Macaca fascicularis: one gene and its partners. The protein of the gene in region 2 binds, or shares a complex with, the protein of the main gene of each other region. Links are inferred from orthologs where the notes say so. Each region holds a gene or a part of one and is shown on either strand. Other genes may lie near its edges.

Region 1 (7,790 bases), on a different chromosome or scaffold from region 2:
TGTTTGCATTTTTTGTAGATTCAGAGTTTTGCTGCTGTATTTCCCAGGTTGGTCTCAAACTCCTGGGCTCAAGAGGTCCAGCAACCTCAGCCTCTCAAAGTGCTGGGATTACAGGCATAGGCCACCGCGCCTGTCCTGGCTTGTTCTTTTCATGTTTCTTTTTTTTTAGAGTCTCGCCCTGTTGCCCAGGCTGGAGTGCTGTGGCACGATCTCGGCTCACTGCAACCTCTATTTCCCGGGGAGGGGGGGAGTCAAGCAATTCTCCTGGGATTACAGGTGCCCACCACCATGCCCAGCCAATTTTTTTGTATTTTTGGTAGAGATGGGGTTTCACCATGTTGGCCAGGCTGGTCTCAAACTCCTGACCTCAGGTGATCCGCCCACCTTGGCGTCCTAAAGTGCTGCAATTACAGGCGTGAGCTGCCGCGCCTGGCCTTTACGTTTCTTATTTAAAAATATAAGCAAATTGGCCGGGCGCAGTGGCTCATGCCTGTAATCACAGCACTTTGGGAGGCCAAAGTGGGCGGATCACCTGAGGTCAGGAGTTCAAGACCAGCCTGACCAACATGGAGAAACCCCGTCTCTACTAAAAATACAAAATTAGCTGGGCGTGGTGGTGCATGCCTGTAATCCCAGCTACTCGGGAGGCTGACGCAGGAGAATCGCTTGAACCCAGGAGGTGGAAGTTGCGGTGAGCCAAGATCACACCACTGCACTCTAGCCTGGGCAAAAAGAGCAAAACTCCGTCTCAAAAAAAAAAAATATATATATATATATATATATGCAAATTTTGTTCATGTGCTTGGTGTGGTAAAAAATATATATATATAAGCCGGCCGCGATGGCTCAAGCCTGTAATCCTAGCACTTTGGGAGGCCAAGACAGGTGGATCACGAGGTCAGGAGATGGAGACCATCCGGCTAACACGGTGAAACCCCGTCTCTACTAAAAAATACAAAAAACTAGCCGGGCGAGGTGGCGGGCGTCTGTAGTCCCAGCTACTCGGGAGGCTGAGGCAGGAGAATGCCATAAACCCAGGAGGCAGAGCTTGCAGTGAGCTGGGATCTGGCCACTGAACTCCAGCCTGGGCAACAGAGCGAGACTCTGTCTCAAAAAAAAAAATATATATATATATATATAAAATATATGCAAATATATAAACACATACACATGCATGTATTTCTCTTTGTGCACACAAAAGATGACATATTGTAAAAACTGTTCTCTACCTTGGTTTTTTTCCACTTAATATATCCAGACACCATTCAATGTCAGTATATGAAGACTGTCTTCATTCCTTTTTATAGGAACTTCATTCCTTTTTATAGCTGTATTACTCCATCATGTGGTCGCATTGGGTTTCTTTCAGTCTTTTGATATTATGTATAATGTCAATAAATAGCATCGGTCATTGAAAAATGAGGCTGGGCACAGTGAGTCACGCCTGTAATCCCAGCTCTTTGAGAGGCTGAGGTGGGTAGATCACCTGAGGTCAGGAGTTCGAGGCCAGCCTGGCCAACATGGTGAAACCCCGTCTCTACTAAAAATACAAAAATTAGCTGGGCATTGTGGCGTGTGCCTGTAATCCTAGCCACTCTGGTGGCTGAGGCAGGAGAATCCCTTAAACCCAGGACGGAGGGATTGCAGTGAGCTGAGATCCCACCACTGCACTGTAGTCTGGGTGATAGAATGAGACTCCATTTCAAAAAAAAAAAAAAAAAAAATAGGGTCTTTGCAGATGTAATTAAGGATCTTGCGATGACATTATCCTGAATTTATGGTGGGCTTAATAAGAGAAAGGCGTGTCCTTATAAGAAAACGGAGAGGCTGGGCTCGGTGGCTCACGCCTGTAATCCCAGCACTTTGGGAGGCAGAGGAGGGAGGATTGCTTGACCCCAAGAGTTCGAGACCAGCCTGGACAACATAGGGAGACCCTGTCTCTACAAAAAAAGAAAAAAAAAAGGAGAGAGTCGTTTGAGACTCAGAGACACACAGAGAAGGCCAAGTGACGACAGAGGCAGAAGGCGGAAGGCTGCATCTACAAGCCAAGAACTCCGAGGTTTCCCAGCAGCCACCAGAACCCAGGAGAGAAGCATAGGACACGCAGATTGTCCTCAGAGCCTCCAGAGGGAGCCAACCCTACTGACAACCTCATTTTATTATTCTGGTCTCCTGAATTATGAGAAAATCACGTTCTGTTGTTTTAAGCCTCCCAGTGTGTGGGCATTTGTTACAGCAGGCCCCAGGGAACTAATAGCATTCGCCTATTTACTTTGTTTACTGTCTGTCTCCCTAAGGGCCACGAATTTTGTGTACTGTTCATTTCTATGAGCAGAAGCAGGCACAGAATAGGTATTAAGTACTTAATATATGCCAGACGCTGTTTTAAGTGCTTTTACACGGTTTCATTCATTTCATCCTCATAGTAAGTAACGTTTTGGAGCAGACACTACTATTTACAGGGAGAAAACTGAGGCCCCGAGGGTCGTGGTCAGGATTCCAACCTACTAAATGATGTTCCCTGGATAATTACAGAATCAGAAAACTAGGAGTCCGAAGGGCGACACCAGGGACGTCCCAATCACCACGAAGCCTGGATTTCTCTCCCTCAACTGCAAAGGAAGTTACTGGCTTTGCCCACAGCGTGGAGCCCAGAAGACCGACGAAGGTTTCACCTGCGCACGCGTTTACCCACAATGCACCCCGCCCCGGCGCGCGTTGCTCCGCCCCCTTTTGTATTACAAGCCGCGGCACTTTACGGCTCTCTTCCTCGTTCCTCTGGCGGGAACACGGCCCGGCCCGCCCCTTTCGCCTAGCGGGCCCCGCCCTACTCCGCGTGGATTGGTTAACCGGCCTTCTAGCCCGGTGCTGACTGGCTCGCGTCTCTGCCACTTTCTTTCAGCCCAGTGGCGCGCGGCGCGGCGTGGCGAAGACCGCCGGGAGCGTGTGCAGCGGCGGCGGCGGAAGTGGCCGGCGAGCCCGGTCCCCGCCGGCACCATGGTGAGGGCAGAGCAACGGCGGGGTCTCACCGGGAGGCGGGAACCGCAGTCGTTAGGAGCCCTGCGGGCGGGCGCTGAGGGCTGGGTTGGCGCGGGGCGAACGTACGGTCCGAGCCTTGAGTCCCGTCCCCCGGCACAAGGCCGGGAAACTGATGCTGGAGACTGCAGGTGGTTCTACCACGTTCGTGTCTGGGATTTAGGGTTGCACGTACTCGTATCCACAGTACAGTGGCCTCGCCTTACTTAGTTTTCCCATTTTGCAGGTTGGGAAACTGAGGTTAAAAAAGTGGGGATCTGCCAAATGCAACAGAGAGTTTTTGGGCAGGGAAGGGGGTCCCTTACGCTTCGGACCCAGTCTGACCTCCCAGATTGAAACCTAGAATGCTGGGAAGTAGGGGGCCAGTCTGAGTTGTGAAACTTAGTTTTAGGAATTTCAGAGCTTGTAAGATGCTTAAAATGCTAGCAGCAGAGCCTCTTAGGCCTCTTGTTTTCTGGCTGAAAAGTAGGCCTGGTGCTGGGGTGTGGTGTTTCTCCTTGGTTCACAAAGCATGTCATTCCAGAGGAAGGGAGCGTTTTGAGCTAGGGGTGGGCAAAGTACATCCTCCCCGTACACAGAAGGAAAAATTGCAGCCCAGGTCTCTGCAGGGCCACATTGTTTATGATTCTGTAAGTTCTGGATCTGGGCTAGAAAGTGCCCGTGTCTCCCAGTGTGCAGATCAGAAAAGGAATCCAGAGCTGGGAGTTTCCTGGCTCATCAGCATCTGGCCCTTCTTTTTTCAATGAGAGAAACCAAGGCCCTTGTTGGGGATGTGACTTCCAGACTGTGAGACAGTGGGAGATTCAGTAACCAGGAGGGCCCCCCAGGGGTGGCTGCATCAGAACTGTGGATTAGTGAGAGAGCTCTCCCTAAATCCAGCTGGTCAGTGTGTAGCCACCCAACGGGTTCACCTTGCCTGCTTCCTAGACAGAGCCCATTTATCAAGACAGGGCAATTGCAATACAGAAAGAGTATTTCACACAGAGCCAGCTATGCAGGAGACTGGAGTTTTATTACTGCTGAAATCAGTCTCCCCTGAGCATTAGGGGATCCGAGTTTTTAAAGATAATTTGGCGGGTAGGAGCTCAGGAAGTGGGGAGTGCTGATTGGTTGGAGCTTCCTGAGGTTGGAGATGGAGTCATTGGCGGGGGGGGGGGGGGGGGGGGGGGGCGGGGGGGCGGGGGCGGGGGTTGAAGTGAGATTTTCTTGCTGTCTTCTGTTCCTGGGTGGGATTGCAGGACTGGTTGAGCCAAATTACTGGTCTGGGTGGTGTCAGCTGATCCACCAAGTACAGGGTCTGCAAAATATCTCAAACACTGATCTTAGATTTTATAATAGTGATGTTATCCCTAGGAGCAATTTGGGGAGGTTCAGACTCTTGCAGCCAGAGGCTGTATGACCCGTAAACAATAATTTCTAATCGTGCAGCTAATTTGTTAGTCCTACAAAGGCAGACTGGTCCCCAGGCAAGAAAAGGGTCTTTTCGGGAAAGGGCTATTACCAATTTTGTTTCAAACTATACACTAAATCCCTTCCCAAGGTTAGTTCGGCCTATGCCCAGGAATAAACAAGAACAGCTTAAAGGTTAGAAGCACGATGGAGTCGGTTAGGTCTGATCTCTTTTCGCTGTCATAATTTCCTCAGTTACAATTTTTGCAAAGGCGGTTTCAAGAGCAAGGATTCAGAGAGCCTGTCCCTCTGCCATGTACTTAGAGGGCAGAGTTGGCATGCAAGACTGGGCAGAGCTGGAAGGATCCATCCCTGTGTTAAGTTTTGTGGAAGCAGAATCTTTTTTTTTCTTCCAACTATATTCCCAGTGTGTAGAACGGTGCCTGGGCAAAGTGTGAACTCATTCATTCAGCCCCTTCCCACCTTCTGAACATCCAGAGTCCTGGCTATCCAGCCATTTCCTGGAGGAGTGGCCAAGAATGGACAAGGCATCATGGGATACACACTTCCAGTTCCCTGTGATCAGGGCAGGGCCAGAAGGAGTGGCCTGGGTTAGGAGCGGGGATGGGCAGTCCTGGACAGCTTCCTGAATTAGGAGGCACTGGATTAGGTCTTTGTGGATCTAGACCTGAGAACCAGATTCCAGATGCTGCAAGAAAGCCCACTAAACCTCCACCTCTCGGAGAGAGTGATTTTCCTGCCTCAGCCTCCCAAGTAGCTTGGGATCACAGGCATGCGCCACCACGCCTGGATAATTTGTGTATTTTCAGTAGAGATGGGGTTTCACCATGTTGGCTAGGCTAGTCTTGAACCCCAGACCTCAGGTGATCCACCCACCTCGGTGTGTCAAAGTGCTGGTATTACAGGTGTGAGCCACTGCACTCTGTACTTTTTTTTCTTTTTTGGAACTGAGCTCTCACTGTCGTCCAGGCTGGAGTGCAATGGCACAATCACTGCAGCCTCAACCTCACCGGCCCAAGTGATCCTCCCACCTGAGCCTCCCAAGTAGCTGGGACCACATGCGTCACTAAACCTGTCTAATTCTTACATTTTTTGTAGAGACAGAATCTTGCTGTGTTGCCCAAGCTGGTCTCATACTCCTGGGCTCAAGTGATCCTCCCACCTCAGCCTCCCAAAGTGCTGTGATTATAGGCGCAAGCCACTGTGCCAAGCCTCACCTGGCACTTTGATGTATCTTCTTTTAAGATTTTGAGGATCCACCCCTTCCTCTGACCTCTTTCTCCAACAGAGTTTGGAGATGAGGATATAGGAGAAATCAAGATATATGGTCACAGCCCCAGGCCATTGCAGCCTTGGAGGACCCGGGACTCAGGCAACTCCCTGTCCGGTGGCCACTCCTTCCCTTACCTGTGGGGTGGGGCGAGTGTTGTGCCTTCCCTGCGTGCCTCCCTGAGTGGTGTGTGCATTTCTTTTGTGTATTTATTCAACAAATATTTACCGAGTACCTCTTATGTGCCTGGCCTTGTGCTTGGCCCTGGACAAAGTCCACACCCACTTTGAGTGTTCCAGTCTAGCAAGGGACAGAGGTAATAAACAAGGTAATTAAAGACTGGCTGCATCCTATGATGGAAACAAACACCCATGAGGCAGAGAGTGGCCATTAAGAGGGCCTGGCCAAAGGAGGTGACGTTTCAGCAGCCACGCGAAGGTCTGGGGAAGGTCACCCCAGGCAGAGGCAATAGCAGAAGTCAAGGTCAGGTGGCAGGAATGGGTGTGACAGCCAGTGTGGCAGAGCCTCTCAGGCCTGGCTCTGTAGCTGGCCTGGGGAGTGTTGTGAGCAGGTCTGCACCAACCCTATTTGGGTGTTTTTTGGTTTTTGGTTTTTGTTTTTTTTTTTGAGATGAAACGTCACTGTCACCCAGGCTGCAGTGCAGTGGCACGATCTCAGCTCACTGCAGCCTCTGCCTTCTGGGTCCAAACGATTCTTCTGCCTCAGCCTTCCGAGTAGCTGGGACTACAGGTGTGCGCCACCATGCTTGGCTAATTTTTGCATTTTTAGTAGAGATGGAGTTTTACCATATTGGCCAGGCTGGTCTTGAACTCCTGCTCACTGCAGCCTCTGCCTCCTGGTTTCAAGCGATTCTCCTGCCTCAGCCTCCCGAGTGGCAGGGATTACAGGCGCCTGCCACCACGCCCAGCTAATTTTTGTATTTTAGTAGAGACGGGGTTTTGCCATGTTGGCCAGGCTGGTCTGGAACTCCTGACCTCAGGTGATCGCCCGCCTCAGCCTCCCAAAGTGCCAAGATTACAGGTGAGAGCCGCTGTGGCTGTCCCACCAGCTCTCTTTGTTTCTCAGATGTTCTTTCTGCTGCTTTTGGATGAGACTGCGGGTGACAGGCAAGGAGGCCATGGGTCCTCCCAGGCTGTGCTATTGGTCACTGGGATTAGGTGGTGACCCGAGAGGGGCTGTCACTGGCATGGAAGGTGTGTCTCCAGGCCACCTGCTGACAGTAGGGCGTCTGCCTCTGGGCAGCTCTGCCCGGGCCTTGCTGGATTTCCCTGGGCAGGTCACTTCTGCTGTGGGCGCCGGCGCCTCCTCTGCAGAATGAGAGGTGGGCCTTAAAGGGCTAGCCGGACCTCTGCCCCTTCCCCAGTGATCCAGGAGGACGTCCCGGGTCCCGTTCCTGTTATGGACTGGAGAAATAAAACAGGCTTACTGAGGAAAACCCATGGCTTCTTCACAGCAAAGGGCGACCTGGGCATGGGACCCGTGTGCCAATCGGTGGCTCTTGTGTTTTCTCTGTGGCTGGTGGCACCCAGTCAGACACACGCCCAGCCGCCCGCAGCCCTCCTCCCCTGCCTCTCCGAGCAGCCGCCCCGCGGCCACATGGCCCCTTCTTCCCCCTTATCTGGCTTTTCCAGGAAGCCGGTGCAGGAAGCGGGCTTGGGCCTGGCTTCCTGCTGGCACCGACCTCCCCTGGGCAGCTTTTCTCAGGAAGGGGCTGTGGGATGTAGGATTCCCTCCCCAGCCCCTTCCTTTCATGGGGGAGCCACCCCACCAGGGTTGAAGGCCATTTCCGGCCTCCACAGCGAGAGGCCTTCAAGTTCACACCCCCTGGAAAGGTGGCCACCCTGTGGATCAGGGTGGTAGCCAGGGCAGGACTCCCAGCAAAGGCTTCTGGGGTCAGGGCCACCTGGAATTCCAGTCACCAGGACAAAGCAAGGTGAAGCCTCTGTCCTGTGAGGCACTGTCTCGTCAGGGCCCCTTGGTGCTGGGGCCTTCCTCACGGCAGTACTAGAACGGGCCCGTTATAGGACCCCGTACCCAGGCACAGCCCTGTGTC
Region 2 (7,955 bases):
GACAGAAATATACTAATCCCTGACTTCAAGGAGCTTATGGCCCAGTGAGGGAAAACAAAAGCAAACAGACAATTACAACAGAGACTAACAGTGCTTATGAGAGAGGTTAGCACAGGAGGATGAGGTTGAGCCTAACCCAGCTGGGGGCTGGAAGAAGTAAGAGTTAGCCTGGCAAAGAAAAATAAAAGACTTTTCTGGCAAAGGGAACACTTGTGTATAGGCATTGAGATTAAAGATAACCCAGCAGTGAAAGTGGAGAGATAAGCAAGGACCAGCTCACAAAGGACCTCATATGCCATGCTAGGGAATTTGGAATTTATTCTGTAGACCACTGAAGAATTTAAGTCTTATTAATGGACATCTAATACCATGTAGCAAGGCCACACTTAAAAATACATATGGGGCTCCTACCATGAGCTAGATGGTAGGAAATGATGATGCAAACAGACATGATTTCTGCAATCAATCACTGGCTGGGTGCAGTGGGTCACATGTGTAATCCCAGCACTTTGGGAGGCTGAGGCGGATGGATCACTTGAGGTCAGGAGTTGGAGACCAGCCTGGCCCCAACATGGCAAAATCCCGTCTCTACTAAAAACACAAAAATGACCCGGGCATGCTGGCATGTACCTATAGTCCCAGCTACTTGGGAGGCTGAGGCAGAGGTTGCAGTGAGCCAAGGATCATGCCACTATACTCCAGCCTGTGTGACACAGCGAGACTCCATCTCAAAAAAACACAAAGTTGTATTCATACCTCCAGGTCCTTTCGAATGCTCTCAAACTCTTCAATGTCATCAAGCTTTAGCTCTAGGCGTGTTGGTTTTCGTCTCAGCATACTGAAGTCAACACTAAGGGCCAAACCCAGTGAACTATTAGCTGATAAAAATGAAAGAGAGGAGGAAAAACTGAAGGTAATAAAGTCTCAGATACAAAACATAAAATCAGTTTGCAAGCCTGTGTACTAAAGTGAATGGAAGTATTAAAACTTTATTTGAATTCACACAGACTTCTAAAGTCTTTTTAAGAGATGGGATCTTGCTCTTTGCCCAGGCTGGAGCACAGTAGCATGACCTTAGCTCACTACAGCCTCAACTTCCTGGGCTCAAGCAATCTTACTGCCTCAGCCTCTAGAGTAGCTGGGACTACAGGTGTACACCACCATATCTGGCTAATTTTTGTGTTTTTTGTAGAAATGGGATCTCTCTCTGATGCCCAGGCTGGTCTCAAACTCTTGGGCTCAAGTGTTCCTCCCTCCTCATTTTCCCAAAGTACTGGCATTATAGGCAAGAGCTACTATACCCAGCCAACTTCTAAAGTCTTTAGGTATATGATTATTACATTTTTATTACATTATGGAGATCTACAGCTCTGTAAAATCAAAAACTCTTTCAGTAAGAATTTAAAATAGCAAACTATCACTTTAATCTCATGTTCTAGTCACATTCAAAGAAATACTCTAGCTAAAAGAATAAACTATCACATCTCAGTATAGTTAGAGGAGAAAGTGGACAAACCAGTGAATTTAATCTACTCTACGTGAGAACTGTCAGAGATTTGTGATCACTCCTGAATGCTAAAATCAGTTTGCTAAATCTCATGAAGACTCCAACTCACCAATTCACAGGATTATCCTCAGCGTCCAAACAGATCCTAAATGTGTGTACGTCATTCATTAAACAAACACTTCTTGTGCTCCAGCTACAGAATTAAAAGGTACAGTCATAATCTGTGGGGAAAATAAAGAAAACTATGATATCATATAACGAGAACCCTAATGAGGATACTGGCACTGGCATCACACAGGCACCTAATCCAGTCTGGGCTGAGTGTGGGGTGGACAAGGATGTCAGGCAAGCCTTCCTGGAGAAAATGATATCTTAGTTGACTTCTGAAGGGCAGGCAGAGAGAAGAGTGCACAAGGAGGCTCAAGACCAGCTTTGGCAACATAGCAAGACCCTGTCTCTACAAAAAAGTAAAAAAATTAGCTAGGCTGGTAGTGTGTACCTGTAGTCCTAGCTACTCAGGAGGCTGAGATGGAAGGATCACTTGAGCCCAGGAGTTTGAGGTGGCCACAGTGAGCCATGATCTCACCATAAGACCCCAACTCAGAAAAAAAAAAAAAAGAAGAAGAAAAGAGGTTCAAAAGAGCATTCCACAGCCTGAAATCCCGAGGTAATACTGTGTTAACAAAAACCATTTTGTTTTGTTTTGTTTTGTTTTTGAGAAAACACAACTCCCCCAATTGAGTTTAATATCTGTTGATGGCATCATTTGTATATTCTCCACAGCATCCCCTAGAGTGTATCTATAAAAACAGTCAGTAAATGTTTGTTGAATAAAAGGTGAGATCATTCTTGAGCACTGTGCTCTTTTTCCATTCCCATTCTTTACATTCTTAACACAAAAACCTGTGAAGTTGACAAAATGATTCCTATTTCACACATAAAGAAGTCATCGAAGCAAGCTGTTCAGTTTGGTTAATAATTTTAGCCTCCTATAAAAATTATACAGGTCAACATGATAAGGATTAAGTGAGAATGATGGAAGTGAAAACTCCTTGAAAGTATATAGAGATACAAATTATTACATGTATCTAGGATGAAACTAGGGACTGTGAAGTATACAAAGGAAGAAATATTTCCTTCTCCCATGAAGCTTAGGATATTACAGGCGATATTATCAACACAAAACACTGGCACATTACATTTCAAATTGCTTTGTACTAAATCAGGCATTATCTTCTACCAGATTCCAATGCAGACAAATGGTAGAGAAAGCCAAAGTTCCAAAGAGGGAAAGAGAGGGATAGGGATACCTAAAAGGAAAAAAAAGGTCTACTATACATTTTACCTTTTCTGCAAACTGCGAAAAACTGGCCACTACGGAGCAGTATAGAGTAGCAGTTAAAAGTGCTGGCTGTAGAGGTTAAAGGGCACAGGTTCTAATCCCACTGCGCCACTGATCTTGAACAATTAGTTTCATTTCTAACTAGGCCTTAGTTTCCTCATCTGTATCCTACTTTGCTGTTGTAGGAAGTGAATAACGTAATGCAGAGTAAGCTCTTGGAACATTACTTGGCATTTAATAAATGTTCAATAAATAACACCTATTATGGCTGTAATTTTTCTAGGGGGTTGGATGAGGATCTGGCCAGCTACGGAAACGTCAATATTTTGAGGATCTCCCACCGTCCACGTGGGGATAAAAACCTTATGCTGTTCGTCTCTAATACCCCAGCATCCAGCAGGGCAGAGAGACGTACAGTTCCCTGACACCCTCCTAACCATCATCTTACTCTCAATCTGATACAAAGACCAGGCTGAAGACAAATGAACAAAATCAGGCCGAAGCTCCTCCGCCGGGTCTTTATTTGACTTTGGCACCAGCGGGCTCTTCTAGCTTAATCTCTCGCTGCAGCCCAAATCCACCGCCGAGCCATCAAGCTCATAGGTGGCCCCTGGGAAGACTTCCGGACCATGGAAGAGAACAGTCCTCGTCCCCTAGCTCCAGGCCTGTACCTCGGATCCCAGGGTTTCTATGGTAACACGGTCCTCGGCTCCCAGAAGACGTAAACGCCCCCGTAGGCCCGGGGAGGCACAGCGGGCCCCGGAAGCCCTCGACTCGCTCCAGAGTTCAGCCCCGAGCCGCGCGAGTCGACTTACCTACCTCTTTTCAAGTCGGCTCAGCCCCTTCCCGGAACCTCGGCTCCCCTCCACGAAACTACTGCTACGCCAACTGGACTACACTTCCCAGACGGCTTGGAGCCTCTCTCTCAGCAGAACCTCGTCTTCCGCGAGCTTTTCTTGGAGGTTCTAGGAGGGATGCCCCTCAATGCCACGACGCCATTTCCTACTACGACTTCCATCATGCTCCGCGCCGCTCCGGGCGCAGCGACGGCTCTTGGCCCATGTCCTGTTTGCGACACACTTCCGGTCAGTGACGCACTTCCGCTCTGCTGGGCGCGCGGTGGAAGGTCTGAAACGGAGAGCTTGGATTTCGCTGGGGCCTCGCGGCTCCAGAGCCCAGCATGGCTTCCTCGCGAACCTCCTCCACGGTACAGAGCCCGGGATCGCAACTCACTCTGGCAGGGAGCGCGAAGGGGGAAGAGGATCTCTGCGGGAAGGGGCCGTTAGGGAGCGAGAGAAGGCGGTGGAGGGCTGAGGAGGAAGGCTGCGGGACTCAGTGGTGTTCTACACAGCGGACCACCGTTTTCCTGACCCCTAAGCGCTTTCGTGGACTGTAGCTTATTTGCACCTCTCCCACTACAGCCCCAAAGGGCAAACATCTCTTCCGACTCATCCAGTAACGGTGCTCTGAAATAGGGAAGTGTCTTGGCCAAGGTTTATGCGTTTGGCAGATCTCAAAATTTTAATGAGACCTACTAACTTCTACCTCACGTCTAGAAACGTTTGAAATGTATACACTCGTAATGTTGTAACTTGTTATCCTTTAGCACCGCGTTGGTTATTTCATCTATCCTTAGTATTTCCCCAGTGATGAGCAGTAATCTTGGATACATCGTAAAACACGAGATTCCACGTTTCCAGCAGAATAAAGTAAACAGATTCCAGAGCAAACCTTTCATATGAAAATACTCGAGAGAACCTCACTAGTTTTATCAATCCCGTCAGCTAAAGTGAGGGACTGAAACACCCTCCCCTTCACCTCAAATCGATGAAGAACATCTTAAGTAGTGTCCAATTTGTCCTTTCAATTATGAAGGAAATAGGACTGTGAAACTCAGGGCGAGCTTCATCCTCGGGAAATCCGGTAAATTGCCAAGATTAAACCTCAATTTAATCCAGATTTTTGATTTGGCAGGCAACCAAAACTAAAACACCCGATGACTTAGTTGCTCCGGTTGTGAAGAAACCACACATCTATTATGGAAGTTTGGAAGAGAAGGAGAGGGAGCGTCTGGCCAAAGGAGAGTCTGGGATTTTGGGGAAAGAAGGACTTAAAGCAGGGATCGAAGCTGGAAATATTAATATAACCTCTGGTAAGATGCAAATTGTGAACCCATCTTTACCTCTTTGTGTAATGAATACTTTCCTAAACTTGAATATCATCAGTTTTATAATGTCAAAAAATTTAAGTTCTTTTGTTTTAGACGGAGTCTCGCTCTGTCACCAGGCTGGAGTGCAGTGGCGCGATGTCTGCTCACTGCAACCCCCGCCTCCCGGGTTCAGGCAGTTCTCCTTCAGCCTCCGGAGTAGCCGGGATAACAGGCGCACACCAACAAGCCCAACTAATTTTTGTATTTTTAGTAGAGACGGGGTTTCATCATGTTGGTCAAACTCCTGACCTTGTGATCCCTCCCCCTCGTCCTCCCAAAGTGCTGGGATTACAAGCGTGAGCCACTGCGCCTGGCAGAATTTCAATTCTTAAACTTGCATCTATAAGGCTGTATTTTGCCTACCCCCTTAAAATCATGCAGAGAGCCTTTTTCTTACAATGTGTTACATAGTTTTGCTTCTATGAGTGAGCAGTCTTATCAAAAATTCAGTGTACATTTGGATTCAGATTGATTCCATTTGTCTTCTGGAGATCTAACATAGTTCTGGCATTGGTTTGCAGCTAGAGTGGTTCGTGATAATCTCCCTTTTGAAGTTTTCCAATTATTTTTTACCCAAAGGGAAATATCTTTTTTTTTTTTTTTTTTTTTTTTTTTGACACAGGGTCTCACTCTCTTGCCCAGGCTGGAATGCAGTGGCATAACCGTGGCTCACTGCAACCTCTGCCTTTTGTGTTCAAGTGATTCTCCTGCCTCAGCTTCACGATTAGCTGAGATTACAGGTGCCGGCTACCACACCCAGCTAATTGTTGTATTTTTAGTAGAGACGGGGTTTCACCATGTTGCGCAGGCTGGTCTCCAACTCCTGACCTCAAATGATCTGCCCACTTCGGCCTCCCAAAGTGCTGGGATTACGGGCGTGAGCCACTGCACCTGGCTGAGATATCTTGTTTTATTATAAAAGTAATAGTGGCCAAGCCTGGTGGCTGAAACCTGTAATCCCAGCACTTTGGGAGGCTGCGAAGTGGGAGTCCGGCTTGAGCCCAGGAATTCGAGACCAGCCTGGGCAAATAGTGATACCCCATCTCTACAAAAAGTAGAAAATTAGCCGGGCATGGTGACGCGTGCCTGTATTCCCAGCTAATTGGGGTTCTGAGGTGGGAGTTCAAGGCTGCAGTGAGTCATGATTGTACCACTGCACTCCAGCCTGGACAACAGAGAGAGACCCTGTCTCAAAAAAAAAAGGTAATAGTTATTTTTCTTTTAAAAGATCAAACAGTGTATGAATGTGTGAAGTAGAAAATCCAGTATTTTTTAATTAATTGATTGTATATCTTAGAATTTTAATACAGCTATAAAAATACGTCATTTTTTCCATAAGTGAAAACATGATACGTAAATTGTTGTATAACCCCCATTTTTCATTTTATATACCATTGAGGATATCTTTCCATGTCAGTAATGAGAGGTCCACTCTATTTTTAAAATAAAATTACGCATATTTGTCATAAGAAATTCAGACAATACCAGAGGGCATAAAATGAAGACTCCTCTGGCTGGGTGTGATGGCTCACGCCTGTAATCCCAGCACTTTGGGAGACTGAGGTGGGTGGATCACGACGTCAGGAGATGGAAACCATCCTGGCTAACATGGTGAAACCCCGTCTCTACTAAAAATACAAAAAAATTAGCCAGTTGTGGTGGCGGGCTCCTGTAGTCCCAGCTATTCGGGAGGCTGAGACAGGAGAATGGTGTGAACCCGGGAGGCGGAGCTTGCAGTGAGCTGAGATGGCGCCACTGCACTCCAGCCTGGGCGACAGAGCGAGACTCCGTCTCAAAAAACTGAAGACTCTTCTGCAGTAGGGACATCTGTCAGGTTTCTCATTGATCCTCCCACACATTTTCTAAACACATGTGCTGTAGCCTAGTGACTTTTTAAAGTTTTTATACTGTTTTTAAACATAATGTCACCACTGTACCTCTCATTTTTTATCACACTTGTATTTTGGTGTGGGTTTCAAAACTATTGCTAGATTTTCCAGAAATCCTTATAGTTGTGGAACTCTCATTTTCATGGTAATTATTTGCAGTTTACTAGTTAATTATTTGTTAAGTATCCCTATACTGGGACTCCTTTAGAGAATAAATAGCTTTGTAAAGTTATGTAGAGGTATAAAGTTAATAAATGAAACCAGAGGTGGCTTGAACCATTTTCCTGCCTTTTGAAGTTGTGTCATTTAGGTTTATGTGTTTGGCATAATTTAATAAACTGAAAAACAGTAAACTATAAAATGTGTAATATATTAGACATTACCTTTCTCTCAGGGCATACACAGACTGCAATTATTTATTTCTCTCCATTTGAAGAAGATCTGCTGATGTTGCCTGTTTTCTTTTTGACAGGAGAAGTGTTTGAAATTGAAGAGCATATCAGTGAGCGACAGGCAGAAGTATTGGCTGAGTTTGAGAGAAGGAAGCGAGCCCGGCAGATCAATGTTTCCACAGATGACTCAGAGGTCAAGGCTTGCCTTAGAGCCTTGGGGGAACCCATCACACTTTTTGGAGAGGGTCCTGCTGAAAGAAGAGAAAGGTCACCTTTCTAAACATTTACTTTTTTTCTTTATTATAATCACAGGGTTCTACTCCAAATTTTGGTTGATGTTTTAGTTGAACTTGAATAGAATGTCTCAAATCATGTTATCATGTTACCAATATCTTACTGTGTTTATATGAGTTAGCCTATCATCTATCTTAGGCCAATTTTTATTCTACTATTAATTTTTTTTTCTTTTTTTTTTTTTTTTTTTTTTTTTTGAGGTAGAGTCTTGCTCTGTCACCCAGGCTGGAGTGCAGTGTCATGATCTTGGCACACTGCAGCCTCCACCTCCCAGGTTCAAGCAATTTTCCTGCCTCAGCCTCCCAAGTGGCTGGGATTACAG
Region 3 (7,774 bases), on a different chromosome or scaffold from region 2:
GTACTTATTTACAAATACATCTATGTTATTGAGCATGAATTAGTATTGTTCAAATGAGAGATTTCAAAACCATTTTTCAAACTTTGGCCTTGGACTCTAGAAATATGTTCCTCTAAAATTCTGGGTATTTCTAAGAACACATGAAGAAGCCTCTCTAATGAAGTATTTAATATAAGGCAGGGCCCTTTCTGGACTCTACCCAGGCTACTTAACTAGTAGAAAAATGGAAAATCTCAGGTAAGTTTAATTTGTAGAGAGAAAGCTTTGGTTGAAACATAAAGTGTTGACATAAAATGTATAGCTATGCCTTACTTTATGCAAATATAAGAAACGCTGTATTTACAAAAGAAATGAATGCAAGATTCTATTAATTACATATGGACAATACAATAGGGTATTTTGGGTAAAACCTCTTCTCCATAAAGTAAGGCAGTATCATTTATAATTTTAACAGATATATTTTACTTACACGTTGTCACCTCTTACAATGTACAATCCTAGTACCACTTGCTCTACCCCCTGTGAAGAGCTGAATACTCGCTCATGGCTTTCATCCAAAATCAAATTAATGGTCTGGTCAAAACCTTTCAGTGTTCCCTGTAAAGAAAATATTCAGGAGAAAAAGAGAAATATTCTGGTTTACCTGAAAGTGTAAATTCAGCCTCACAATCATTTCAGTTGCCAAGTATTCCAATACAAGTAACAATACAATGTCAAATAAAATACCTTTTTTATAACCAACAGTATTCGAGGGTACACAATTTACCTCTTGGTTGTTTGGCTGGGGTGGGGGTCCTGCACCACACATCTCACTCATATGCAGAGTTGACGGCAGTTAGAAACGACAACTATGTACTAATTTGAGTATCTCCAAAAAGTAACTAGCATAAAAGCTTACGAAGACCAGCAGCTAAAGGTATAAACTAAAACAAAGGAGATTTAAGGGAAACTGATGGGCAAATATACATAAATAAGGAAGAACCATACATACCAACTACAGCAATGTAATGTATCACTATATGCTACATACCAGCACTAAGCAGTGTGCTAAACACATCGTACACATTGTCTCAACTCATCTCTACCCTTTAATACTATAATTAGCCCCATTTCAAAGAAGAAACTGAGGCACAGAGTGGTGTGTCTTATGGGCACATGGGTAGTAAGTGGCAGAGCCAGGAGATGAACCACAAAAGGCTAGCTCCTGAGTCAGACCACTAAACCGTAACATTCTATACTATCATACACAAGTAAATATAATTTGCCATTTTTCAGAGATTCAAATCAGTCCCATAAATATTTTAAAAATTTAGTAGTTACATATAACACCTAACGAGTACTTTAGTTACCGGTGCTCCGTCTGTCTCACATGTATTGTTTAATGTGTATCAAATGGATGTATTATTGAACTCTCCCAGTAAGGTAGATACAAATGTGACTATACTAATTAGAACCAGAACTTGAAGGAAATAATCAGGGAGAGTTTTATGAAAGTTTAGAATTGAATAAAAGAAGGCATGGGTCTAGCATAACAGAGTAACTCAGATGGTATTCAAGTTTCTGAAGAATTATCAACTAACATTGGTTTTGATGGTTAAATCTCTCAAGCTCTTAAACTGTTTTATCCTCTGAAAGTCAAAATATATAAAATGAGAATTAAATAAAAAGAAATCTATAACTTGGAAGAGAAACAAAATATGGAGTATTTATTGAACTAGTTAGCAAATGGTTATTATTATAAACACCCATTCATAACTTATTGGCTTCATTTTGCCCATTAACTATCCCATCAAATAAATTATGTGTCAAAGAAATACAGAACTATTGAACTTTAGAACTTAAGATGCTCTTTTTATATCGCTTTCCTTCTTCTTTAAAATTAAAAATAATTTCCCAGTTTATTATCCTGTTAACAAAAATAAGAAAATTTAAACGTAAGGTTTTCACTAAATAAAAAATAATGCAAACATCTATTAATAGCAATAGGCTTCTTGAAGTGTTGAGGTTAAAATATGTCAAACTGTCCACATTTGAAAAAATACAATGTGAGGTGCCTAAGAAAACATGATTGCTTCCTTAAGAAAGAAGCCAGGCAACTGGCCTTGGCTTTGATGTCAAACCAAATTTAAATCCCAGTTTGGTTCTGTCACCTGCTACCCTTGTGACTCTGAGAAAGTGAGTCACCTTCTCTGAACTTGTTTCCTAATCTAGAATACAGGGGTACTTATTCTTCACAAGGTTGTATGTACATTAATTAATGTAACACATATGCACCTGGCACACGATATAAATTTAGTAAATGGCAAAGCTAGAACTTTGACTAACAATAGTCACTAAGAACAAACGAAAGCAAAACTGCAGAATGGAAAAATAAGGGATCAAATTATTTAAAGAAACTAGGTAGGGTTAGAAAAGTTTAGTAGCCTTAAAATTCTTTTGAAAGCATTTGGAGTAGGAATTATAAGTGAAGAAATAATCAAGTGCCCAAAAATCTTGAGATGAATTCCTCAGATCAAATTCCAAATACAAGTATCACCATAGGAACGTTTTATCTTTGTTATATGACATAAATTAGCAAGGGAGAAACAACTTCAAGGAACAAGCCAATTTTACGTAAATATGTGTATATAGAGAGAGTCAATCATCATAATGTGTCCTACAGAAGACATGTCACACAACCTAAAAACAAAGAATGTTAAGATTGTATACAAGCCTTAAATGTTGATATGTAGATATTAATAGTATCTAAATCATTAAAAAGTTACTAAGCATATGCAAAATTTCAAAAAATTCTGATTCATGTGGTGCCGAATGAGGAAGGAAATAAAAATGGAAGAAGAAAAGTAAGTTTAATGAAGGTCTGCAGACTAGGAGCTCTCTGAGGGCAGAATCTATAACTCTAGCTCCTAGAAGCCTTGTAGGTAACACGCCACGTTTATGAGTGAGGAAAACGTGGATTGACAGCAAAGTGATAAAGAGCTGAATTATAATAAAACTGCACTACAGGTGTAATGTGCTGTCTAGGCATTAGAGATCAGAGGTTTCACATAAAACTTGCAACCAATAAACCTACAGGAAAGCAGAGAATGAAAATTCCGAAGACTTACCACAATCATCCTCCCATCAGATGTAATAACGGCAACAGTTCCTGATAACTGAATAAAGGAAAGTGTTTCTTAGGGAATGCAAATTGAAAACAGACTCTGGCAAGGTAATGATTTAAATTATTAGAACAAATATGACAATTAGGTAAAAGTGTTCAACACAGCCACTAAGTTCACTACATAAAAACGTTGAAAGATTTTGGGACGCCAAGGCAGGAGGATCACTTGAGGTGAGACTAGCTTGGGAAACACAGTGAGACCCCCCCCATCTCTACTACCCTGGCCTGGTGACCTATAGTCCCAGCTACTCAGGAGACAGAGGCAGAGGCAGGAGGATAGCTTGAGCTCAGGAGTTCAAGGTTGCATTGAGCCATGATCAAGCCACTGCACTCCAGCCTGGGCAACACAGTGAGACCCTCGACTCAAAAAAAGAAAGAAAAAAAATTTTTTAAAAGCTTGTTTTAGTTTTGTGATAATTACATGACTAAAAAAAGGAAAAAATAGAAAAGAAAACCTCTTTCTGTATGTGATCGGTGTATCCTATCTCAAAATATCCTGGATTTTTGACACTTTTCTACTAGGAATGCTGCCAATCTATTATTTCGGACAGGATATTTCGTTTCTTGGGCCTGTTTATATCTAAAATGAAAACTGGATGAGTACTAAATTCATCGATGTTGGACGATTTTCAAGCATGTTAAAAAACTGTCTTCCGGGGCAGGCTTCTGTAATTCAAAAGTAAATAAACTATATAATCAGTGTCACAAGGTACTAACAATGCCTGTAACATTAAAAGCATTCGGTATTTAATTTTTGTCACCCAGTTTGTACCTGAACTTAACATAGTGTTTTTGTTCTGAGACTTTAAAACGGTAACACTTGTAAAGTCTATTTTAAGACTTCCCGTGGGGTTGTTACTTGCTCCTCACTATAATCCATTACAACAGCAAGCATTTTTTTCATTCCACCACCAGGTAGGGTCTTCAAGTGGTAAAGGGACAGAAACAGTCTGTGAACCATCGTTAAACTTTCTGCTATCCTCGAACTAATGAGCATATTATGTGAATAAAACAAGTACACAGATTTGCAAAACTGTTGTCGCAGCCAGGACGACTGTTAATCTTATTTACAAACTTGAACACTTATGCCCTAGGGAAATAGTAAGGAAGAATCAAGAGCGTAATTTTTTTTAAGACAGAAAAGTTCGGAAAAATCACACTGGGTTTTTATTTGGCTTTTGTAGACAAAATGGAAAGGACCCCTGGGCCCGCAGCAGCTGGCAGGCTCTAGGCGCCGCCGCCGAACTCTGGGTCATTCCGGGGTCCTCATCTCGCCCGCCCCCAGGATCCCGCCGCGGCCGGGCCTCCCAACTTCCCACCGATCCCCGAGCGGCGGTCTCTCCGCGGCCCCGGCTCACGCCCGCGGCGGCCAGCTTGAGGATACGGTTGATGTAGTTCTCCAAGGCGGACGTCATGCTGCTCGGACCGGCAGTTCCGGATAACGCAGTGGTGCCGGCCACAAGCAGAACTGAAAGGGCGCGCCAGAACTCGGCAGCGGTTCGCGTCTGCGGGCCGCCGCAAATATCGTGAGAGTTGCTGCTCCGCAGCCCTTTGACTCGGAAATTGGGACGAACTAGCCAACCAAACAGAAGCAGCGCCGCTCTGACGAGAGAGTGCGCGTGCGCAGTGTGTTTTCGCTGTAATTCTGGGCCGTGTTCCGGAAGCCGTGTAAGACAAAGGGAACGAGAGGCGGAAAAAAGGAGGACGCTTCCCGAAGGTGGGGTACGAGAGAGAAGTTGGGGGAGAGTGGGTTTCCAATCCGAGTAAAACCCAGTGTGGTGGAAGATAATAAGTGAAAATGTTGAGGTAGAGCAGGCAGGAAGAAACAGGATAAGGCGTTTTTTATTAGGAGTGAAGGAGGAGAGTAGACGAGCGCTGTTGTGTGAAATGCGGGTGCGGGTAGTTGAATCCCTAGTTTTCTGCAGCAGGAGCCGAAAATAACACTAAAAATAAGTCCAGTTGGCCGGGACAAAGTTGCGCACGTTATAACCACACGGTGTAAGCGTCTTAAGAACTCAACAATGAAATGCACGTTCGTATGTTCTGCTTTTGTCTCTAAAAGTGGTCCAAAATGGAGGTGTTTTTACTTTTTAAAGAAACTAAATGCAAATAGAAAAAGGTGTGTGACCATCCCTTAGAAAACGAATGTTCACGCTTCTACCACGCCGGGATGGTCTGCCGGAATTCTCCAGGGTGAAATTAATAAATAAAAGGCTCCTTCAGCACCAAGAAAGGACTGATGCAGGAAGGCACCAAACTTGGTTCTAATCTTGGCTCTGCTAACGTATTGGTGTCATTGCACAGGTCACTTCAATTCTTCTGGGCCTCAGTTTCCTTATAGTGCCATAGGTATCATTTCAGATATTTCCCAATGTGATACTGTTCCCACTTTATTTACTGTGTTGCCCTAACTTGAGAGAGCTTGAAGTTAGAAAGAGATTTATACACAAAACATCAGCAGGAGCGATTTCCCTTTTTTACAAAATATCTTTATGATTTAGGTTAAACATGTATTTTCTTAAGAATTGTGGCTTTGGAATAACTCTTGCAATGTCAGCAGTTTTCCTGGGAAAAGGAAGCATTTCTTAATTAGAGCATACCCACAAGATACCTACAAGATGACTCCCAAATAGTTAAAATTTTATATTCTGGAAGTTATTCCGATCTGTTTGAAATCAAATGTAGTCAGGAATTAGATTGTGAATGTCTCATATTCTCAGGGTAACAAATGAAAGTGTCTTCCACAAATGAAAGAACAAAGATAATTGTGTGATTTGCAAATGTTAGGAGTTGAATCAAAACCCAAAGACTAATTAATGATTAACGAGGTGTTAAGAGTTTTGTTTAAAACAAAAAAATTGCTGGGAGTGTTGGTGTATGCCTGTAATCCCAGCTACTCTGGAAGCTGAGGCAGGAGAATCGCTTGAACCCGGGAGGCGGTGGTTACAGTGAGCTGAGATCACGCCATTGCACTCCAGCCTGGGCGACAAGAGCGAAACTCCATCTCAAAAACATAAAAACTAACCTCTGTGTGATCTTATAAAAATAAAGCTGGGTACAGTGACTCACACCTGTAATCCCAGCACTTTGGGAGGCCGAGGCGGGCGGATCACTTGGTCAAGAGATCAACACCATCTTGGCCAACATGGTGAAACCCCGTCTCTACTAAAATACAAAAATAAGCCGGCGTGGTGGCGGGTGCCTGTAGTCGCAGCTACTAGGGAGGCTGAGGCAGGAGAACCACTAGAACCTGGGAGGCGAAGGTTGCGGTGAGCGGAGATCGTGCCACTGCCCTCCAGCCTGGGCGACAGAGCGATGCTCCATCTCAATAAAATAAAAAATAAAAGTAAAAAAATAAATACTCCCAACAGCTTTTCATCACTTAGAGTGTGCTTTTGTTTTGAAAATGTTTAACATTATATGGTAGCTTACGAAACTACTTTCATCATAAATACATTGTAAGTCTATGGCCTTGTGTAGTTATTAAAGTAATATGCCAGATAAATAACAGATGTACAGTATTTATGGAGCATCACAAAATCTCTTTGGCTGGAAACTTTTTTGCATGTGTCTTAAAACTGCTATGTTTTCTGTAGTCTGTAAGGATCACAGATGTAACGAGAAAGCCTCTGGATAGATAAAAGTCCAGTTATTAAGACAAAAAATGAATTACATCTGGATGCAAACATTACATGTATGATTTATCTGTATTAGCCATGTACCCTTGAGAGTATGTGAATGTAGAGAGCTTAGCATCTCATAAAGGAGAATTACGTTAAAGCTCCAACAAGGGAAAACTGATACATATAAACATCTGACTACTAAAAAATTAAGAGTTAAGGGTGAAACTTGCCCCTTAAGTCCAAATCTCTCAAAGTAATGCGTATTTAAATGACATATCACTGATAAAGTATCAACCAAAGTATGCTTGTAATAGATAATTTTATTCCATTACTTCTGAATCTAACTCTTGAGCAGAAAACATTAACCTAAAGGATCAGACTTCTGGTAGAATCTGAGGAAACTGAATTTGCCCTTCTCTGAATAGTTTATGGAAAACTATACAATTTTTTAAATAAAATTTTTAAAATAAAATAATATTTTTAACCTTATGTGATGGGAACTTTTATTTCCTTTTCTGTGTTTATGCTTTACTTCCCTGCAAGTTGCAAGGGTGTTAACCAAACAGTAATATATATTGAATAGATCTAACCAGAGTTCTCCTAGGCAGAAAAGGACATAAGTAGATCGTGCGTCTCTACTTACAAGGAAATTCCTGAATAGTTACAGACCTTTAAGTATAAAAGTGAAATAATTATTGCATTAAAAAATGAATATTCCAAATTACAAATAAAGGTTATTAATAGTCTCCATTTAACACTATGCATTACAAAGTGCTCTACTTATGTTTTTCATTTAGGGTAATAAAGACAGGTAGATTTAACTCCATTACTTTAGGGATGGAAAAAATCAAATATAGGTGATTCGGTAATTGAGAAGGAGTTTAGGATCATTATTAAGAACACTGACTCAAGAACTGCCTGAATTTTTATTTGTGTGACTTTGAGCATACTTAACTTTCTGTGCCTGTTTCCCCATCTGTAAAATGGG
Region 4 (7,695 bases), on a different chromosome or scaffold from region 2:
AACAAAAACTGAAATAATACAACATTTAAAAAGCCTGTCCTCTAACTGTGCTGCGAGCATTGTAAGTGCCCTGTCAGTATGTAGAGACCAGTGGGGAAGCTTCCCCGTCTCTCCAGGCCCCACAACAATGGAGTTTCCAGCTTTGTGAGGACGTCCAGGACCAGTGAGCGCTCAGCCCGTCCATCGGCCAACACAAGGCTTCACGTTGGTGCCTCAGAGTGAGGTTTTGTGGGTTTCAGAGAGGAAGAGGCAGCAGGCAGCCCCATGGCCGCCTCCCTTGCCCTGCTGCCCCCTCACCCCACTGCCCTCCTCATCCCGCTGCCCGCCTCAGCCACCGCCCCACTCACCTCGCATGTACTCAATGGTGCCGTCCAGCACAAGGTTGAGGAGTGGGTCGAAGCCCTTCAGGATTCCACTGGCTTGGAGAAATCACCGGGGGAGAGAAATGAGAAGGCATGAGATCCATCTTGGGTACAGGGCCTGCCCCAGCGTGGCCCAGGCATGGGGCTCACTGCTTCAGGGATGGAGGACTGAGGGTGGGGGAGGGCTCCCGGGAGGGGCTGGTGACAGGCGCCTCCAGAGTGACCCCCACCATGGGCAGCCGACTGTGTCTGCAGGGGGCTAGAGGACAAACACTTCTGGCCGTGTGGGCCACAGGGTGCCGGTCACAGCTGCTGGCTCGGGCTGCCTGGGTGGAAGCAGCTTCGGTGATGAGTCCACGTGTGGCTGAACCGTGGCCAGTCAGCTCGACACACAGGCACTGAAACGGGAATTTCGTATCATTTCCACATCGTGAGACAGTCTTCTTTTGATCCCTTTCCAGATATTTAAAAGTCATAAAAACAATTCTCGGCTCCAAAACAGTAGCAAAACAGGCCGCGGCACATGCATGCGGTGGAACCACCAGCCGGGAAGAGGAGCGAGGCTGGCGCAGGCTGCGGTGCGGATGTGCCTGAGGACGCGCCTGAGGGCGCCACGCTCGGTGAGAGACGCCAGCCACAGAAGGCCGCGCAGCGTGTAATCCCGTTTCTATGAAAGGTCCAGGACAGGCCAATCCACAGAGACAGGGAGGGGATGTGTGGGTGCCGGGGAGGCGACAGGCAGTGACAGCTGATGGGGACAGGGCTTCCTCTAGGGGAGACGGAGTGCTCTGCTGGGACAGCGGTGGTGACTGCGCTGCCTGACCTGTGCTAGGTCCCTCAGTGAGTTCACGGAATACAGAAGAACAAATCCCAGCCCTGCAGCTCAGGGCTTGCGGGGAGCGGGCAAGAGAGATGCTCTGAGACCCGGGTGCAAAGGCTTTGGGGGCTGAGGCGGTTGCTGTGGCTTCTCTCTCCACGCTGCCTGCCCCACCCCCCAAGCCTCGCCGCCTTAGGTCACAACTTGGCACCTTGGGTTAGGGCTCTCTGACCCGGTGGTGACCTCTGCCATCTGATCCTGCTCCGCAGTGTCTGGTGACACTGAGAAGGATGAAGGGGGAGCTGTGTGTCCTCAGCAGAGGCCAGCCCACCCTCCCTGTCCGGGACTCCCGTCCTCTCCCCCCAGGCTCCTCCAGCCCAGGCCCAGGAGCGGTTCCGCCTCTGCGCTCACTGAGGGGCGTCCCTCAGCCACCCGCTCCCTACCCTCCTTCTTACCCCTGTCATCTTTCAGGTGCTTCCTCCAGACACCAACCCACACCCCTTAGGGTGCTGCCCTCTGCATGCCCCCCACCAATCTCAGGAAGCAGGCACCCCAGGCATTATTCTGCCCGCCTATCTTCTCCCAAGGCAGGGCTGTGAGCCTGTCCATGGCCGTTCTGCGCTGCGAACTACGACCAGAGGCGAAAGTGGCCCACCGCTCATCTCTGTATGCCAAAGTTTCACTGGCCCACCAGCACACTCGCCCGCTCAGGCACTGACCAGGGCGGCTCTCCTGCTCTGCGGGCATAGCTCACTGGTTGTGACAAGAGACCATCTGGGCTGCAAAGCTGAAGATATTTGCTGTCTGGCCTTCTACAGAGAAGGTCTGCCCACCTGCATACAGGCTTTAGCTCCTACCTCCACGGCTCCCTCTCTCTGCGCTCAAGTCCCTCCCCTGCAAAATGAAACCTGTCACCTATGAGATGGGGTCAGACGCAACGGTTCAGGTCCTTGGCACCAGCCTGACCAGTGAGCCAGCCCTCCTCACAGGGACAGATGTGAGCACTGAGGTAGGTAGGTCTCTAACCAAGGTTCCCCTCCCCGGGGTGTGGGCTCGGGCCTGTGACTCTGAGGGGACATGACGTCACTCCTGCACTTAGGTTATGCAGCTGTTTAAGCCCCTGAACCAGCTGACTTTGAGCCAATCTAGAGGGAAACACCCTGGGTGAGCCTGACCATATCAGGTGAGTCCTTCAGGGAGCAAACCCTTTCTCTGCTGTGTGTGTGCGTGTGTGTGATTTATTTATTTTTAGACGGAGTCTCGCTCTGTCTCCCAGACTGGAGTGCAGTGGCGCGATCTCAGCTCACTGCAACCTCTGCCTCCTGGGTTCAAGAGATTCTCCTGCCTCAGCCTCCTGAGTTGTTGGGATTACAGGTGTGCACCACCACGCCCAGCTAATTTTTTTGTATTTTTCGTAGAGATGGGGTTTCACGAAACCCCATGTTGGTCAGGCTGGTCTCGATCTCCTGATCATATGATCCGCCTGCCTCAGCCTCCCAAAGTGCTGGGGTTACAGGCGTGAGTCCCTGCGTCCCGCCAAGAGCTGCAGCATGCATCACCAGCCCACTGCCCATGCGAATGCTTCCTGCCCTCTGAGAGCTCGCCCTGTCTTCACTAGATTCCATGGAAGAGTTGCAGGCAGAGGCAAGCATCAGGTTAACATGCACGAAACCGCAAACGGTGACAGGTGCTACCAGGATCCTAGAACGATGGGGGGCCTGACGCCAGGGTCAGGGAGGGCTTCCCAGAGCAAGCACCTGTGGAACTTGTGCTTCTGCCGCCCTTTGCAGTCATAATCAGAAGTATGGATTCGGATTTTACTCCAAAACAACCGGGAGCCTCAGAGGTTTTCAGCAGGGAGCAAGAAGCCTCCATTTCTTTTTCATTAGGTGCCTCTGGCCGCTGAGTGGAGACTGACCTTAGTAGCTGTGATTCCCAATCACAGCTTGGGGGTCGGGGGGCGATCCTATCCCCAGAGAACACTAAGCAATGTCTGAGGCTATTTAGGTTGTCACAACTTGGTGGAGGCCAGGGATGCTGCTCAGCACCCTGCAGTGCCCCAGGACGGCCCCACTCCAGAGAATCCGGCCCCAAATGTGTCCACACTGCTGTGCGGGAAAGACCTTGACTTAGAGGGAGGAAGAGGAGAAGCCGGGAGATCTGTGGGGATCTGGGGCAGTCCTTGGACACACAGGACTGCTCTGGAGGCCAAGCCGGAAATCCCAATACCGGCTGCGCCACTGTGACTTTGGATTACGTTTGTTTCCCGCTCCTTGCCCCAGTTTCCCCGCCTGCAACATGGCCATACCAGTTCCTACCTCCCGGCGTAATTCGGAAGCCTGCACAAGGTAGTCGGCGTCAAGCGTGTAAAGAGGCGCCTCTGCGGCGGCTCACGCCTGTCATCCCAGCACTTTGGGAGGCCGAGACGGGCGAATCACTTGAGGTCAGAAGCTTGAGACCAGCCTGGCCAACATGGTGAAACCCCGTCTCTACTAGAAATACAAAAATTAGCCAGGAGTGGTGGCGCCTGTAGCCCCAGCCACGCAGGAGGCTGAGGCAGGAGAATCGCTTGAACCCGGGAGGCGGAGGTTGCAGTGAGCTGAGATCGCACCACTTGCACTCCAGACTGGGCGACGGAGCGAGACTGCGTCTCAAAATAAATACATAAATAAAAATAAATAAAAGAGGCGCCTCTGCATGCATCCTCATCACCTCTGTTGCTGACTTTATTTTAAAATTTTAAAGGGGGGGTGCCAACGGCGGGAGCCGCCTCACCTTCGCGTCCTCCCTGAAACTTCACCCGGATCGTCTTGTCGATGTACTTGGACAAGTCCAAGATGCTCTCCTTTTTCTTCTTCTCCTTATCCTGCGGGGAAAGCAGAGCGCATGAGGCCTGGAGCGCGGCCCGAGCCCCACGCCCCCCGGCTCCGGATTCTGCCGCGCGCTCACCGCCATCTTGTCGCGCCGTGAGGCTCTTCGCAGACACCGCCCCGTGCCCTGTGACCTCTCCCCTCCCCCCCACGCGCATGCGCGGCGCATGCGTGGCCCGGGGTCTCGGGGCGTTGCTGGGAAACATCTGCCGACGGTTGCGGCGGGCACCGGCCGAGATGGCGGCGGTGGCGGCGGCTGCGCTGGCGCGGCTTGTGGCGGCCTTTCTGCTCCTCGCGGCCCAGGTGAGCGCGGCACCGGTCCCGACGGCACCGCAGGCTGCGGCCCTTCGGCCTCTCGGCCCCGAGGCTACGCGCAGGAACGACCCCTCTTGGCCCGTCTTGGGGGTCCAGCCTCGGGGATCCGCGGTCCCCTCGTTGTCGGCCGGCGGTGCCGGGGCCCGGCCGTGACCTTGCGGGGCTGTCCCCGGCTTCTCTCCCTTCCCCGCCTCGGAGGCCCTCCGCCGCTGCAGCGCCCCTCACTTCCCACCGGGCCTGAAGTTTGTGCCCCCTCCATCTCCCTGTTCTGCTTGTCCGTTTCGGGGTCTCCAGCCGCCGCGGGGGACGCCTCTCTCCCGCTCTGTGGCCTTGGGCAGGCGGCCGCCCACCCCGCTCCGAGCCTCAGTTTCCCTTTAGGCGGAATGGCCCGGTGCTAAGCTAACCTCACCCTAGGGGGTGCGGTGGGGGAACCCAGAGGCGTCCCGCGTGTCCCCCAGTGACTGGCCAGCATCCTGGAGCGGCCAAGAGCCCAGCCCTGCACTGGGGTCGTATTCCCGCTCCATCTTTTACTCCGTGACCTTGGACGAGGGAATTCCCTGCTTTGAGCGTCAGTTGCTCGTCTGGAGAAGGGGGGTCGACTATGGTGTGGATTCTGGAGATGCTACCCAGGGTGACCAGCGCCTAGGGACAGCACGCCTTCCTTATATTCATTGTGTATCCTTTGATGTAGAGTGTCAGGTTCTAGCGGGGACAGTCTACGAGATGGCACTGTCGTAACTGCATCTTTTATTTTCTTAATTCCAAATCTTACCTCTTACCTGAGTTTGGTGGCTCAGGGAATGGAACCCGGAGCAGCCTCACAAATGCGGCCCTTAACCTTCACTCCTCTCTCAGAGTTCTCTTAAGGCGTCGCTGCCACTGGGCTCCTTCTTAGTCTCCACTCTTCCAGCCCCACCGCCATCCCCCTGCTGTGGCTGCCTTTGTCCCCCACATCCCTAGTCCATCCTCGACACAGCAGGAGTGACCCTTTCAAAGTATGTCAGTCCATGTCGCATCTGGATGAACGTGCCGTCCAGTTGTGACCTGGCGCCAGGGAAGCCTGCAGCTCATTGCAGGAGCTTCGTTGTCTAGTCTTTTCTCTTACCCTGAAATGCCCGTGGTCTCTGCAAGGCTGGAGGGCCCCCTCAGAAGCTTTCTGCGAACCGCACCTCCACCCCCAGCTGCCCTGTCAGCCCCCTGGACTCCCCCTATTCTGAGGCCAGGGACCTAGAGACCCCAGACATTTGGAAGGAGGAGGAAAGCCAAAGGTGGAAGAAAGATAGAAAGATCACAGAACGCTGTGGAGGGAGGGACTCAGTTTGCCTGGGAAGGCTTTTCTGAAGCAGGAGTGTTTTTTTTGTTTGTTTGTTTGTTTTTTTGAGACGGAGTCTTGCTCTGTCTCCCAGGCTGGAGTGCGGTGGCATGATCTCAGCTCACTGCAACCTCTACCTCCCGGTTCAAGCAATTCTCCCACCTCAGTCTCTCGAATAGCTGGGATTACAGGTGCACGCCACCACACCTGGCTATTTTTTTTTTTTTTTTTAAGTAGAGATGAGGTTTAACCACATTGGTCAGGCTGGTCTCAAACTTCTGACCTCAGGTGATCCACCTACCTCGGCCTCCCAAAGTATAGGGATGACAGGCGTGAGCCACCATGCCCAGCCCTGAAGCAGGTGTTCTGAGCCATGAGTAGGAGTTTGCCGGGTCGGCAGGAGGGGAAGGGTGTTGGAAGCACCAGAAGCAGCATGAGCGGGGGCTGGGAGGTGTGAGAGCTAGCGGGTTATTTGGGGTTGGCAAGGGGTGGGCTGTGGCTGGAGTCTAGGGTGGAACAATGCTGGAAGGGAGGATTTACATCCTGAAAGATGTCACCACCAAGGAGGTCCTGGGGGGTGGGCCGTGGATGGACGCTGGAGCAGGGGCACAGAGGAGGGGGGAGTGGTGCGAGTGGCCCCAGGCAGAGAGTGAAGGCAGAGCATTTGGCCTCTTAGGCTGGATGACAGGCCGCCTGGTGGAAAGCAGGTTGTGGAAGGCTCTCTGTGCTGGGGTGCATGGACTTTAACCTGGGGGGGCTGAGGAGTGTGAGCTTTATCTGGAAGGTGGGGAGTCAAAGGACGTGTCAGAGGGACGTGAGAGAGCAGGTGCTCCTGGCCTTCCCAGAACCCCGGTTGTAAATACACCCTGAGAGGCCTGTCCCTGTTGGGGGGTGGTGCTTCGCGGCAGTGGAAATTTGAGTCCGATTGCCCAGAATGAGACTAGCTCTCTGGGCAGAAGCCTGCTTGGTGACAGTCCTCCACTCGCTTGCTACCATTCTGTGACCCCGAGCAAGGAAGTGACCTCCCCAGTGAGACACCTCCCCTCCCCCACCCCATAGAGCCCATTCCTCAGCAGATCTCAGCTGGAGCTGGTGGCCCTGGCTGGACCCGGCCTGGCTCGTGGAACTCCTGAGTTCCCAGAAGGGAGGCTCTCCCGGCTTGGACTCACTGGCCTGTTTCAAAGGCCCTTGACATGGATGCTTTCACAGTCACTTCAAAGCAGGGTTTCTAAGCCTAGAAGTTTCTAAACAAGTGTGCAGTGGCGAAGCATCTGTGCTGCGATTTGTGAAGGATTTGGAGGTCAAGGCCTGGGCTTTGAGCCTGTCCTTGTAGCCCGAGCTTTTTCTGCTCCTCCAAATTTCGGTGGGCCTGACTAAAACTCAGGGCCCTCAGAGCTGTGGCCGTTGGACTAATTGTTCCCAGTTTCTTTTTTTTTTTTTTTTTTTTTTTGAGAAGGAGTCTCGCTCTGTCGCCCAGGCTGGAGTGCAGTGGCCGGATCTCAGCTCACTGCAAGCTCCGCCTCCTGGGTTTATGCCATTCTCCTGCCTCAGCCTCCCAAGTAGCTGGGACTACAGGCGCCTGCCACCTCGCCCGGCTAGTTTTTTATATTTTTTAGTAGAGACGGGGTTTCACCGTGTTAGCCAGGATGGTCTCGATCTCCTGACCTCGTGATCCGCCCATCTCGGCCTCCCAAAGTGCTGGGATTACAGGCTTGAGCCACCGCACCCGGCCAAGTTCCCAGTTTCTTTAACTCAGCAGATGAGGAAACTTCCTGGTGAGACGCCACTGCGTTCTCTGGCCTTTGATAGAAGTACAGGCTTGTTTTTTTTAACAGAAAACCAGTTTTGCGAATTGTGGAGAGGAAAATGTATGAATGTGCTTTTGTGCTTTTAAATGACCCTTTTAGAGAGAAGCAGAGAAGCAGTTCTATCGGTTCCCATTTTACACAATAGACACTTTTCACCAAAGTCCCTGATCCCATAGAACAGAGCTTGGCAGGTGTTTTCTGGGAAGGGCTA

The links.
Region 1: PRPF4 (region 2) and LSM4 share a complex: the UniProt entries of both Homo sapiens proteins name them as parts of the precatalytic spliceosome. The link is inferred for Macaca fascicularis from reciprocal best matches to the Homo sapiens genes PRPF4 and LSM4.
Region 3: PRPF4 (region 2) and LSM8 share a complex: the UniProt entries of both Homo sapiens proteins name them as parts of the precatalytic spliceosome. The link is inferred for Macaca fascicularis from reciprocal best matches to the Homo sapiens genes PRPF4 and LSM8.
Region 4: PRPF4 (region 2) and LSM7 share a complex: the UniProt entries of both Homo sapiens proteins name them as parts of the precatalytic spliceosome. The link is inferred for Macaca fascicularis from reciprocal best matches to the Homo sapiens genes PRPF4 and LSM7.

Annotation. Positions count from the first base shown.
Region 1 is NC_088393.1:18,685,708-18,693,497, reverse strand, and holds the start of LSM4 (U6 snRNA-associated Sm-like protein LSm4), read left to right. Parts: upstream 1-2,938; 5' UTR 2,939-2,997; coding exon 2,998-3,000; intron 3,001-7,790. UniProt on the Homo sapiens protein: Plays a role in pre-mRNA splicing as component of the U4/U6-U5 tri-snRNP complex that is involved in spliceosome assembly, and as component of the precatalytic spliceosome (spliceosome B complex).
Region 2 is NC_088389.1:44,821,568-44,829,522, reverse strand, and holds the start of PRPF4 (U4/U6 small nuclear ribonucleoprotein Prp4), read left to right. Parts: upstream 1-3,943; 5' UTR 3,944-4,029; coding exon 4,030-4,056; intron 4,057-4,823; coding exon 4,824-5,001; intron 5,002-7,419; coding exon 7,420-7,606; intron 7,607-7,955. Other genes in the region: anaphase-promoting complex subunit CDC26, read right to left, coding at 757-850, 1,617-1,675. UniProt on the Homo sapiens protein: Plays a role in pre-mRNA splicing as component of the U4/U6-U5 tri-snRNP complex that is involved in spliceosome assembly, and as component of the precatalytic spliceosome (spliceosome B complex).
Region 3 is NC_088377.1:159,619,030-159,626,803, reverse strand, and holds the start of LSM8 (LSM8 homolog, U6 small nuclear RNA associated), read right to left. Parts: upstream 4,690-7,774; 5' UTR 4,579-4,689; coding exon 4,548-4,578; intron 3,149-4,547; coding exon 3,108-3,148; intron 598-3,107; coding exon 470-597; intron 1-469. UniProt on the Homo sapiens protein: Plays a role in pre-mRNA splicing as component of the U4/U6-U5 tri-snRNP complex that is involved in spliceosome assembly, and as component of the precatalytic spliceosome (spliceosome B complex).
Region 4 is NC_088393.1:2,986,774-2,994,468, forward strand, and holds the start of LSM7 (U6 snRNA-associated Sm-like protein LSm7), read right to left. Parts: upstream 4,167-7,695; 5' UTR 4,135-4,166; coding exon 4,129-4,134; intron 4,046-4,128; coding exon 3,955-4,045; intron 420-3,954; coding exon 348-419; intron 1-347. Other genes in the region: SPPL2B (signal peptide peptidase-like 2B), read left to right, coding at 4,287-4,352. UniProt on the Homo sapiens protein: Plays a role in pre-mRNA splicing as component of the U4/U6-U5 tri-snRNP complex that is involved in spliceosome assembly, and as component of the precatalytic spliceosome (spliceosome B complex).